Linked DNA regions of Sus scrofa. The protein of the gene in region 1 purifies or fractionates together with the protein of each later gene. This does not show direct contact. Links are inferred from orthologs where the notes say so. Each region holds a gene or a part of one and is shown in the gene's direction. Other genes may lie near its edges.

Region 1 (4,240 bases):
ACTATACTACAGTTTATTTAAAATATGCAATAGCATTATGTCTAAAAACACACTGTACATACTTTAATTAAAAATATAATTTATTGTTAAAAAATGCTAACCATCATCTGACAAGGGTTGCCACAACTTCAATTTGTTAAAAAATATCAGTGAAGCATAATAAAATGAGGTATGCTTGTATTATTTACATTTTCTTCAATCCATTTCTCTCTCTTAACTTCTCAAAAGAAGACTGTATATGGTGTGTATTTTTCTAAGTCCTTCCAAACTCACGTTGTAATAATAGTTGATTAGACATTAAAAAAATAAATTCTATTCTCTAATTAGTCTCTATTGCACTTATATGTATTGATCAAAATGTGTCGACTTAACGTAAAAAAAAGTCGGGAGCCAGAAAACTCCTTGAGGTCTGGAACCCTGTCTTAACAACATACACACGCTAGAAATAAAGCACAAATAAATCCTTTTTTTAAAAATTAAGTTTTTACAAAGTGCATATTTTGTGGAATGGTGGGCTCAAGAGGATTTGAGATGTAGAACAGAGCAAGGTTGCGATGCTGAGTAACAAGCAAGACAGAACTCTGAAACTTGGACGAATCGGAGATCTTTCTGGAGAAGCAGCCCCTTCTCTCCTGCAGCCTAGGAGCTGTGATCCCAGATAGTGTCTCCTCCGCTCGGGCAACATCAAAAGACATTTTCCAGTTATGCTAGCCTCAGAGTACCCTTTTCAAAAGGCATCAGACGGGAAAGCTGAGCGCAGCGGTCCTCCAGAAAGCAACGCCCTCTCCGCCCCCCCTCCCCTGTCCCCCTCTCCTTCGTTGGGAAGCCTGGGAAGCCGCGCCGCTCCAGTCCTGCAAAGTCCCAGATCCCCCGCACCTCCCCGTACACAGGCTGCAGAAGGCTTTCCTAGAACTTCACCCCACTCCGCCTGCACAAAAGCAACTCTAGCCGCCTCCAACGCCTCGACCCCAGACCCACCTGCGGCCTCAGAGCCAACAACGACCCCCACGACCAAGGGCAGCGGTGAACCCAGCCACCAGCGCCGGCGGAAGCTGTGGCCTCGGGATCTACCATTCGCCGGGCCCGCTCGAAGAGAGGGGTGGCTCCGGGAAATCATAAATCTTCTTCCTTTCACTCCTTGATTCTTATCACATTTCTTTAAGATTTAACACATTATACAGCCTTTAAAAATAAAATTTTGTTCCCAGGTGAAGAGTTGGTGTTAGCACCACCTCCTTCCTCCAGCTTTGTCACCCCTCGCCCCCGAAGATGGTATCACCCCTCGCCTCCCCGCCTCCGCGGGTCTCCTCCAGTTTCAAAATGGCGGCCGCCATTGAGGGTTTTCTGCTGGCAGATCGTCACGGGTGCTGCTGAGCCAACATCAGCTTTTCTCGTTCTTGAACCTGGATTCTACTAGGGGTTGGGAAGGGCAGTGGACGGCGTTGGGGGAGGACTGACGAGGCAAGTGGGGGCGGAAGAAATCAGTGCGCCTTTGGATGGGGGAGGGGGCGTCCTCGGCCCTCGGGGAGAGCCTGGCTCCGACTCTGACTCGGTCTCCACCAGGGACGCGCGCCTGGGGTTTCGGTTGTGACTCTCCTGGTCATTCCCGGCCGAAGTGCTCAGTGAGGGAAACAGTGATTTCTTCATGGGTCTGAAGCTCCCGATTCTGTTGTGGCAGTTCCTACGATTCAGTCCCATGCTCTCCTTCCCTCTTTTTTGCTGTTTCCCTCCCCTTTGAGTCTCGGCGCCGGAGGAGTTAATCCGACGTCCGCTTTGGCTCCTTAGCTTTGTGGCTGCCTTGTTCTCAGCCTCCTCGCTTGGGGTCTTCCTGTCGCCTCGGATTGAGAGACCACGAGGCTACTGGCCACAAAGCAGGCGTCCTCTTTAGTTAATCGACTCAAAGACCTTACCATGCTTTATTAAAAAAAGTTTCGGTTCCCCCCTACCCCCCATAGCCTTTGAGCACTTCCCGTATTATCATTATTTACGTACTCTTCAGTAAACAAGAGGTCAGAATAATTTTAACCCTGGCAAGTCTGGCTTCCTGTGACCAGGCGAACTTGAGTGAGCAATTGCCCATGCCCTAATAATATTTTAATGTTTTTTATGTTAGAACCCCTTTGATCCTGTTAGGAAACCAGTGCTCTCCCGGAACTGACCAGGAGGAGACTTCTTACGAGTCTTCGAGGTTAACCCAGACTCTCATTTTCCTTAGACTTTGCTGATTCCCCTTAGTTGTCATTAACATGCACCCACAATCGTTATTAAGAAAGCAAGTAACTTTGATAGATAGTTAAGATGAAATGGTGTTGGTCAAAAACCGCTGCCCAGCAGCAATTTATGATGTCGTGAGGGTTCATTCCTTTCAGTACACATGTACGTTGCTTTGAACGCTGTGCTCCGTATTGGAGATTAAAAGATTCACCTGAACGCTTCTCTCATGCCATTCAACATCCATTCACCATTATTCTTTGTGCCCACTTGTGCCAGCTAAATGTAAATACCATTGCTTGGAGACACCAGAATAGCTTTATAAAAGAGTAAATTTGAGCTGGGTCGTGAAGGGCCAAAAGGAATTTACTAAGCTCACGGGAAGGTCATTCTTGGTTGCAGTGCGGGGATGCAGAGACTGGAGAAGTTTTGGCAAGCTTGGGGAGAGCGGGAGAATGAATGTATTTGAGCATGCTGTGCAAGGGTGGTTGGTGAAGCAAGAGGAAGATTGAGGTAAACTTGTAAAGGACCTTGCTTTCCAAGGAAGGTGTGAGATTTTCTTTGGTACTTAGCCAATGACTGCCTTGCACAAGGAAGGGGGCATGAGGCTATTTTTTGTAGGATGGTCTCTCTGATAGCTGTATGGAAGATCAACTTGGAACTGAATGAGAGGAAATTGCAGTCATTCAGGTAAGGAAATGAGTGCCTTCATTGGGGAAAGATAGTAAAGGATGTTAGACATTTCTGAAATGTCAAAAAGGAATTCAACTGGTGGCAGCCAATTTGTGGTAAGAAGGTGACTTCAGAATTTTTCGTCTGGGAGACTAAGTGGTTGGTGATACCATTAAAGTCTAGTCTGAGATGTGCATAAAAATAGGACGGTGCCTCCTTGCACTTTAGGGGTGACAGAGCACAACGCTCCACAGTCCAAAGCATGTTCAGAGTTGCTATCTGTGCTATTCCAGTAGCCACCAGCCTCATGTAGCTGCTGAGCTTTTGAAATTGTGGTCAGTTCAAATTGAGTTGTGCTGTAAATATAAAATACACACTGGATTTTGAAGATTTAGGACTGAAAAAAAAAAAACCAGTTTCTTAAAAATGATTACATGTTGGAATGATAACATTTTGGATATGTTGGGTTAAATAAAATTAATTTCACCTGTAAAACTTTAATGTGGCCCAGAAAAAAAATTTTAATTACATTTGATATGCATGCTGTTTTTATTGGACAGAGCCGTACTAGTCTAGATGAATGATAGAGGAATTAGTGAGGAGTGGAATTTAGGCTGGGCCTTAAACTGGTGATGGTCAGCAGTGCTGTCAGGGCAGCTTGCTGGCACCCTCCAGGTTTGGTTGTTTCAGACTGTAGGAAGCCTTCAGAGATTTCTAAGCAAGGACTCATACATGTGGGGGTGTTTCAGAAGATTAATCTGGCAGTAGGGTTTAGGTTGAGATGAAGGGAGGAAAGGCTGGAGGCCAAGAAACAGAAACCCAAATGTAAGGCAATGAGGCCCTGTATTAAGGTACTTGCTGTCGGAATGGGGAGGGAATGGTAAATGTACAAGGAATTCTAAGGGGAGAGTAATTCCGGAGGTGGTAACAGTCTGTTCAAGAAGCAAAGGGAGGAATCAAACATGTAGAGTTTCTAGCCTTGGTTCCTTAGACAATGACTCGTGAACTCATGTCGCAGAGTTATAAGGTGCATTTGAGGCTGAAGAAGTTTAGTCTCAAAATAGCACCAGCAAAGGTGAAAGGAGGGAGGGGGCTGCTAAATCCTCTCTTTTTTTTTATCTCCCTGCTTTGACCACCGACTTTATCTAAACAATCACACATACCAGCAAATGTTTTGAATCTGCAGAACTGCCTATATCCTGTCATCTTATAATTGATCTTAAAATATCTCTTTGTTACCTGTTCTGTCCAACAGTTAGAACTAGGTCCAGAGTTTCCAAGGCCTTTCATTAGCTGGCCCTTTTCTATTCATTAGGGCTTTTCTTTCATTTTTTGCTTATATGATGGTGTGCCAGGC
Region 2 (3,646 bases), on another chromosome or scaffold:
GGCCTCTTTTTTTGTAACATATTTTTGCAGTGACCCTTTGCTATCCTAAAATGAATTGCACAGATGATACAACACACTTAACGTAGTTTCAAAAAACACCAGTTTCTCAAAAAAAAAAAAACCCTAACTATAATATAAAGGAGAAGGAAAGGGAAAAAGAACGTTTTTAATACGCAAATTTCAAGCACAACTACACTAGAAAACAAAAAATAGCAGTCAGATACTTGAATTTATACTATAAAAGTAAAAGACCCACGTATGTTGTTTTGGCAACTCAGATACCTCAAGAACTATTGACACTGATGATGTGATTTTCTGAAATGGCGAAAATGAAAACTTTTGGTGAAAGTTCTTAACAAAACAAAATAAAGTACCCATAATTTACTCAATAATTTCATTTTTGGAAAATTCAGTGTGTGTGTGTATTCATATATATTTATACACACATATATATATACAGGACAAAGAACCTTCTTGTTTACAAGTAAAACAGACAGGTTCTAAGTTCAGATGACTATAAAAATTTTCATTTGTGTGAATGTTTAGCAAGATAATTGAACGTTTTGCAAGGCAGGCAAATTCTTGATTTTGTGGGACTGTCTCATACACTGAAGGACACCTGATATCCTTATTGGCTTCTTGTAAGATGCCAGCCTTCCCTCCCTCAAATCTGTCACAACCGAAACAGCGTACCCACACATTTACAAAGTACTCTGGGAACAGAACTGCTTCCTGTGGGAGGAGTTATTTGGGTAAGTGCCCTTGTTCTGTGTTACAGAACTCCCTGCCAAGGTTTTGGTAACCAGTGAGCTTAAAAATTCGTATTTAACTCACTTTTCTGTCACTGAAGCCTAAAGTGCACTAACAAACTGCATTTTCTGTGTAACTACGTTGTTTAGTGGTTGTTATGACCTTCTTTTGTAGATTTCTGCTTGTGGGGCAGGAAGAGGAAAATTATTAACTCAGGCATGGTCCACGTTTTTTCTCCATTGTCCTAATTCTTTTCCTACCCTTTATCTTCTAGGAGGAATGCAGGCCCAGGTTGGAATGCCAGGAAGTGGACCAGTATCCATGGAGCGGGGACAAGGTAAATAAATATTAATGTCTGATTAATGTGATCTAGATTTGGAAGTGTTCTGATCTACACTGTCTGATATGGCAGCCACTAACTACGTGTGGCTATTTGAATGTTTAATTAAATTGAATCAAATTGAAATTAGGTAAAAATCTAAAACTTAGTTCCTCATTCACACTAGCCACATTCTAAGGGCTCAATGGCCACTTGTGGCTGGTGAATGCCATAGTAGATATTGCAGGTACAGAACATTCCATCATTGCAGAAGATTCTTTTGGACACAGCTGTCTAGATTTCTATCTAGTGATTCAGAGCCCGGCTGTACAAGAATTGATGACAGAGCAGATGATTCCTTTGTTTCTATTTCACTTATATCACCTTTTCTTAGTAATTTAATGCTTCTCCTGACACGTTCTCTCTCCCTCTATGGAGATCTGATTAAGATGTTTTAATACTGAACATATAATATGTGTCTGTGTATGTAGAAGATAAATTTCAACCCCAAGGATCAAAAGTCTGTGAAGCCTGTCTGGTAAGTGTATGTTGAGCTGTGGCAGTAACACTGCATACCACAGTGGCGTTCACTCCAGAATCTCCATGTGTTTCTCTGTGATACTGGAGTTTGAAGAAACAGAAACTGCAGTGATTTGCTTAAAAACAACATCAGGAAGAAAGAGGGAAAAGAGAAGGAACTAAGAGTAAAAATGAGTGCATCCAATAGGCCACACTCTCTAATTTTCACAAACCATCATGTGAGTTAGCTGGCAGCACCTCAGTTTTCAGGTGAAGGGCTGGAAGCTCAGAGTTTTGAGTTACTCCTCAAGGGGACACGGTAAGTAAATACTGGTATCCAAGTAACATGGATTGGGCTTGGTGCACTCATCTTCCGGCTAATAAGCTGCAGAGCTAAGATTCCAAAGTTTCTAGCTCCAAAATCTATTCTCTTTCTGCTAAACCACGCTGCTTCTATTAACTTCTAAAGATGCTCTCTAATGTCTTCTATTTTTATTCATTGTGCCCTTGTGATGAGAAAGAACTGCATTAGACAAGCCTGGGGAAGCTTAAGTTACTTCTTATTAGCATATGGTCTATAAGGAAAACCCATTTTTTTAAAAAGCAAAATGCTAAGATACAGACCTATGCACTCTACTCCTTGTCTATGGTTTGTACACTGGGGTTGGTTGCCGAAGTGACACAACTAACAATCTTGTCAAACATTTGACAGTGGAACAAGCTCTTGTCCAAACACTTCATCTGAGCAGCCCGTGCTTTTGTGCTGTTGTGCCCCACTGCCCTCAGCCACTATCAGTAGATCATGTATGTTCCCCAAAGTATTTTTGCAGTAGTGAGAAGGAATTAGGGTTTCAGTCATACTTTTACCTCTTCCCCAGCCATCAATCAAACTTTAGCTGTTTAATACACACTTCTGTAAGACATCTTCCTTCTTGATGTAGTTATCTTCACCTTTCTGGTCAAAAGTTAACAAAGGGAAGTGACTTGAGTTTTGAAGGTATGTCAAAAACGTCTTCATGAAGAGACAAAATGAGGTGAGTTTTATAGTTTTCCTTTAGCGCACAGCAGAGGAAGCAAGAATCTTTCTACTTGTACCCAGTTGGTCTTTCTTTTCCTGCCATCCATTCTTCTTTTGCACATTTGTAATGGTGAAAAGAAACAATGAGATGTTTAAGAACATACTTCTTGCCCTCTGCCACCTTTGTTTAGTCTTGGTGCCCTTGTCATCATATGTCTTTGCAGTTGTCATATGTTTGTTTATCACAGACTTACAGTGGCAGAGTATTTCTTGAGGAGTGATATTCTCTTTCCTTGTCTAAAGTTCATTCACTGCATTTCCCCATTTGATACTTTTTTGATAGAAATTTTTGTACTTTAAAATATGGCCAAAAAAATAGTACTATGAACTTCTTTTGTGGACCTTTCCAGAATTAATCTTGCCTTCCAGATTCAGTACAATTTCTTTCTTTTTTTTTTGTTTATGAAAAATATATTTATGTTCTTTGCCTAACCAGAGATTCAGAACCATCCTTTTTATATTTAATTTCTTTTTTTGAATGGTATCATAAGGAGATTTAAGGGGAATCATAAACAGAGGTGAACATTGAAAGTGGCTGCTTATTCCTGCTCAGATAAAATCAGTGGCCCACAGGTTTTATCTTAGGAAGCAATCTCATCAAAGCAGAACAGCTTCAGATCCAAAGAAGCTAATTTAGTTTAGGAAGATTTTGTAGTCCGGGGCAAGTTAATGAACTCTTGGCTTTTTAACTTATATGTCTAAATCTCCAGTGTCTGTATGTGTATGCTTCTGCGTGTGTGTGTGTGTGTGTGTGTGTGTGAGTGTGCAAGCTATTTTAAGTGTCTGCTCTTTCTCCTTTTGAACTTACTGCTCACCTAGGAACCCTACAGCACTCGCCCGTGGGACCCGCCGGGCCTGCATCAATTGAGCGAGTTCAAGGTACCCATTGTATCTGCGGGTTTCCTTTTGCTTGTGGTGTTCAGGGTGGGACGTTGAGAGGACAAGAGCTGCTTGGCAGTCATCCTCACGTTCAGAACCCC
Region 3 (3,646 bases), on another chromosome or scaffold:
CCTGTGTCACTTACCCTCTGAGCCTCCATTTTCTCATATAATACATGACGAGTAACAGCGTCTGCTTTGGAGGCTGGTTCCCGAGGTTGACTTCTCACCATCCCCACCTCTTGCCCACATCGGTTCTGTAGCTTCCTCCGTGTCCTGGATTTCCAGCTTATTCATTCTCCACATAGCAGCTCAGGTGACACTTTATAAATGTAAACCGTGTCTTGTTATTTCCCCACTAAAAACCTTCCATTGTCCTCAGCTAAAATGCACCTCCTTACTGTGTCCTATGAGACCGTGTATAATCCAGTCCACGCCAACCTCTTCAGCCTCTTTTTTGCCTCCCTGCATTTCACTGCCCCCGAACTTTAGCTCGCTGGCCTTCAGTCTCCTGTTCCTCTGATAGACTCACTCTGCTCTACCTGGAATGCTCTCCCCCTACTTCTTCCGTGGCTGGCTCTTTCTCCTTTGCCAGCATTGACAACTGTTATCTCCAAGCAGCCTTTTCTGGTCACCACATCTCAAAGAACAGCCTCCCGTCATCCCCTCCCATTGCTATATTAAACAAGCTAGGAATCTCCATTTGAAAAATGGGAGCAACTGAGTTTCCAAGAGGTCGTCTCTGCCCAGGACACCCACCTGGCAGTGTCTGAACCCTGCTCTGTTGCTTCCAGAGCTCTGTATCCAGGGGGTTGAGCAAGCTGTTGGAGGGGGGCACTTTCAGTTCTGAGCTATGATCAGCAGGATAGGGAAGCCAGCCGTTCCCTACCCCCCCTCTCTGGCAGGATCTTCACCAAGGTCGTGCTGGAGGCGCCACTCATCACGGAGAGTGCCCTGGAGGTGATTCGCAAGTACTGTGAGGATGAGGTGAGGACAGGCGGCAGATCTCCCGCCACTCCGAGCATCATGGTACAGGCAGGGGGTTCTGGGAGGGACCGGATGCTCTGGTCCAGTCCCAGGTCTGGCTGAGGCAGGGGAGACCTCCCAGTGGTGCCCTGCAGGGGCCTTGAGCTCTGGTTCCCCTCCTTCCTGCCGCAGAGCCGCACCTACCTGGGCATGTCCACTCTTCGAGACCTGATCTTCAAGCGCCCATCCCGTCAGTTCCAGTACCTGCACGTCCTGCTAGACCTCAGCTCGCATGAGAAGGACAAGGTGATCCCCCACCGCCCTGTGCTGTGCTCCACTCAGTCCTTCCTCTGTCCCGAGTAACCAGCCCAGCCTTTTCCACACTCCCCTGAAACTTTCTGGGCTTAATGTGCATCTTACAACAGTCTTTTGGTGGTGGTGGTGGTTTTTCCATTTATGATGGCGTGAAGCTGCTTAGAAGGTACACACATATATATACTCACACCCCAAGCAGGGCAGGCCCGTTCTCGCTCTTATTCTGCCTGTGTTGTACGCCCCTCTTAAGGCCCCACTGTGCTGGGACCTGGGAGGAGCCAGTGTGACCTACCAGCAGACACCATGTGTTCAGTGCCAGGAGTGGAGTAGTGTGTGACTGCAAAGCCCTGGCGAGGGGGTTGGGGAGGGGGTGGTTTAAGGAAGCCTCCCGGAGTCGGGACGTGTGAGCCAAGACCTGCAGTAGGAGTAGATGGCTGCGCCCTGGTCAGATGTGCCTCGGTGTGATGGAGAGGGCCCGCGACCATCCCTGCTCCTGCCTTCAACCCGCTCCTTTCTGGTGTCTTGTGTCCGTTCATTCAGCAGACCCTGACTGCACACTCTGGCTCGGCCCTGGGGTGCTGCTGGGAACAAAGCAATGCCCCAGACCAGGCTCTGTCCTCTTGGCTCCCAGCAGGATATAGCCAGCGACAGGCAGTCCAGGCAGTGGGAACTTTGTGTGCCAAGTCTCAGTGCCAGGGAGAAGGCCGCCACTTGTGAGGAACTGAGGAAAGCTCCTGGTTGGAGCAGGGCAAGCAGGGCCAGACGTGATAAGAATGGAGCCAGGCAAGTAGATGGCGAGGTGATGCAGGGCCCTCAGCTGGGCCAGGAAACCTCCCTCCCAAGCCAGTCTTGGGCACAGGTAACTCAGCTAGGCCAGGCCTTCCTCAGACTTGGGCTTGTTTTCACACTGGCTGCCAAGCTCAGGACAGCTGTTGCCCCCTCCACCACCTTGCCCTCCTCTCTCCTCAGGTACGTTCCCAAGCCTTGCTGTTCATCAAGCGCATGTACGAGAAGGAGCAGCTGCGAGAGTATGTGGAGAAGTTTGCCCTCAACTACCTGCAGCTCTTGGTCCACCCCAACCCACCATCTGTGCTGTTTGGAGCCGACAAAGACACAGGTTTGGTACAGGTTCTTCAGGGGTGTGTTGAGCACCTGCTGCGTCCCAGGCTCTGGACTGGGCCCTGGGGTCAGAGCCTGCTAGAGAAGACAGCTAGACAGCAGTAACCGAAACAAGCAGGCTTTGGGTGGCAAAATCAGGGGTCTGTGGGAGCCCAGAGGGGGTGCCTGGCCCAGCCTGATGGGTCAGGGAGAGGGTCCTGGAGGTGTGGGGACAGCTGGGTGAAAGCCGAGGACAAGGACAGCTTGCCAGTGATGCAGCTCCAGGCAGGATCATATCAGGCCCACTCACTCAGCAGAGCTCTGGGTCCTCCGTGTGCCAGATGGGGAGACTCTGGCCCCAAGAGGATGGACCATAAATTGGAGGCTGTGGCAGGAAGCACGGGGCCTTCTAGGAGCACAGGAGCCCTGGAGCAGCCTGAGTGTTGGGAACCCAGAGGGTGTGAGACCCAGAGGATGAGGAGGCACCACAAGAGGAGTTGGGCGGCAGTGTTCTTGGTGACAGCAGCACGTGTAGAGGCTCCAAAGTGGAGGCCTTGGGGTCTGTCTGAAGTGGGGTGTGACCAGAGTGCAGGGCCCCAGAGGCAGGGCTGCCCTGACCAGGACCTGTCAGGTAGAGCAGGGCGAGGATCTGGGGGCTTGTCCTGAGAGCACAGGACAGTTGTGGGAGCACTGAACAGGAGAGGGACAGGGTCAGAACTGCACTTAGGAAGATCTCTCTGGCTGCCTCGTGGACTGGTGGTCAGAGGAGACAAGGTGGGCACTGAGTGCCGAGACTTGCGGAAGGGGAGCCGTCCCGCTTCCACCCCCACCTCCTAGAGGACAGGCTTCCTGCCCTGGGGACTTTTGCTTCCCAGCTCAGCTCCCTCCTGTGCCTGCCTCCCAAGAAGGACCAGACCCTGAGGGTGGGAGGGGAGCAGGCCTCACCTGATCTTCACCTCCTGCCTTACCAGAGGTGGCAGCGCCCTGGACCGAGGAGACAGTAAAGCAGTGTTTGTACCTCTACCTGGCTCTCCTGCCTCAGAACCACAAGCTCATCCACGAGCTGGCAGCCGTATACACGGAGGCCATCGCCGACATCAAGAGGACTGTGCTAAGGGTCATCGAACAGCCGGTGAGGCCCCTGAGCCCACCAGGCTCTGCCCACGCATGGGCAGGGCTAAACCCCCAAATCAGCCCTTCCCCCGATAGCTCCTCCTCGGTGTCTGCTAAGCTCTAAGGGTTGTCACCCCAGGCCCAGCAGCTCTGTGGCTTGCGGGTGGCCCACACATCCGTCTGCTCAGGAGAAGACAGCAGGGTTGCCCTGAGTGAAAAGCCTAGGATCCGACAGACCTGGGCTCTCCTTCTGCCTCTCACTTGCTCACTCTGTGGACATGCACCC

What was found.
Region 2: the proteins of CPSF2 (region 1) and CSTF2 purify together in Homo sapiens (affinity purification with western blotting; 3 studies listed by BioGRID and IntAct, with this or other methods). This does not show direct contact. The link is inferred for Sus scrofa from reciprocal best matches to the Homo sapiens genes CPSF2 and CSTF2.
Region 3: the proteins of CPSF2 (region 1) and SYMPK purify together in Homo sapiens (co-immunoprecipitation; 8 studies listed by BioGRID and IntAct, with this or other methods). This does not show direct contact. The link is inferred for Sus scrofa from reciprocal best matches to the Homo sapiens genes CPSF2 and SYMPK.

Annotation. Positions count from the first base shown.
Region 1 is NC_010449.5:113,658,604-113,662,843, forward strand, and holds the start of CPSF2 (cleavage and polyadenylation specificity factor subunit 2), read left to right. Parts: upstream 1-1,334; 5' UTR 1,335-1,461; intron 1,462-2,783; exon of another isoform or gene 2,784-2,901; intron 2,902-4,240. Other genes in the region: NDUFB1 (NADH dehydrogenase [ubiquinone] 1 beta subcomplex subunit 1), read right to left, coding at 979-1,156, 1,287-1,334. UniProt on the Homo sapiens protein: Component of the cleavage and polyadenylation specificity factor (CPSF) complex that play a key role in pre-mRNA 3'-end formation, recognizing the AAUAAA signal sequence and interacting with poly(A) polymerase and other factors to bring about cleavage and poly(A) addition.
Region 2 is NC_010461.5:82,522,214-82,525,859, forward strand, and holds part of CSTF2 (cleavage stimulation factor subunit 2), read left to right. Parts: intron 1-1,024; coding exon 1,025-1,087; intron 1,088-3,485; coding exon 3,486-3,545; intron 3,546-3,646. UniProt on the Homo sapiens protein: One of the multiple factors required for polyadenylation and 3'-end cleavage of mammalian pre-mRNAs. This subunit is directly involved in the binding to pre-mRNAs.
Region 3 is NC_010448.4:52,149,245-52,152,890, reverse strand, and holds part of SYMPK (symplekin), read left to right. Parts: intron 1-773; coding exon 774-855; intron 856-1,026; coding exon 1,027-1,140; intron 1,141-2,118; coding exon 2,119-2,266; intron 2,267-3,218; coding exon 3,219-3,379; intron 3,380-3,646. UniProt on the Homo sapiens protein: Scaffold protein that functions as a component of a multimolecular complex involved in histone mRNA 3'-end processing. Specific component of the tight junction (TJ) plaque, but might not be an exclusively junctional component. May have a house-keeping rule.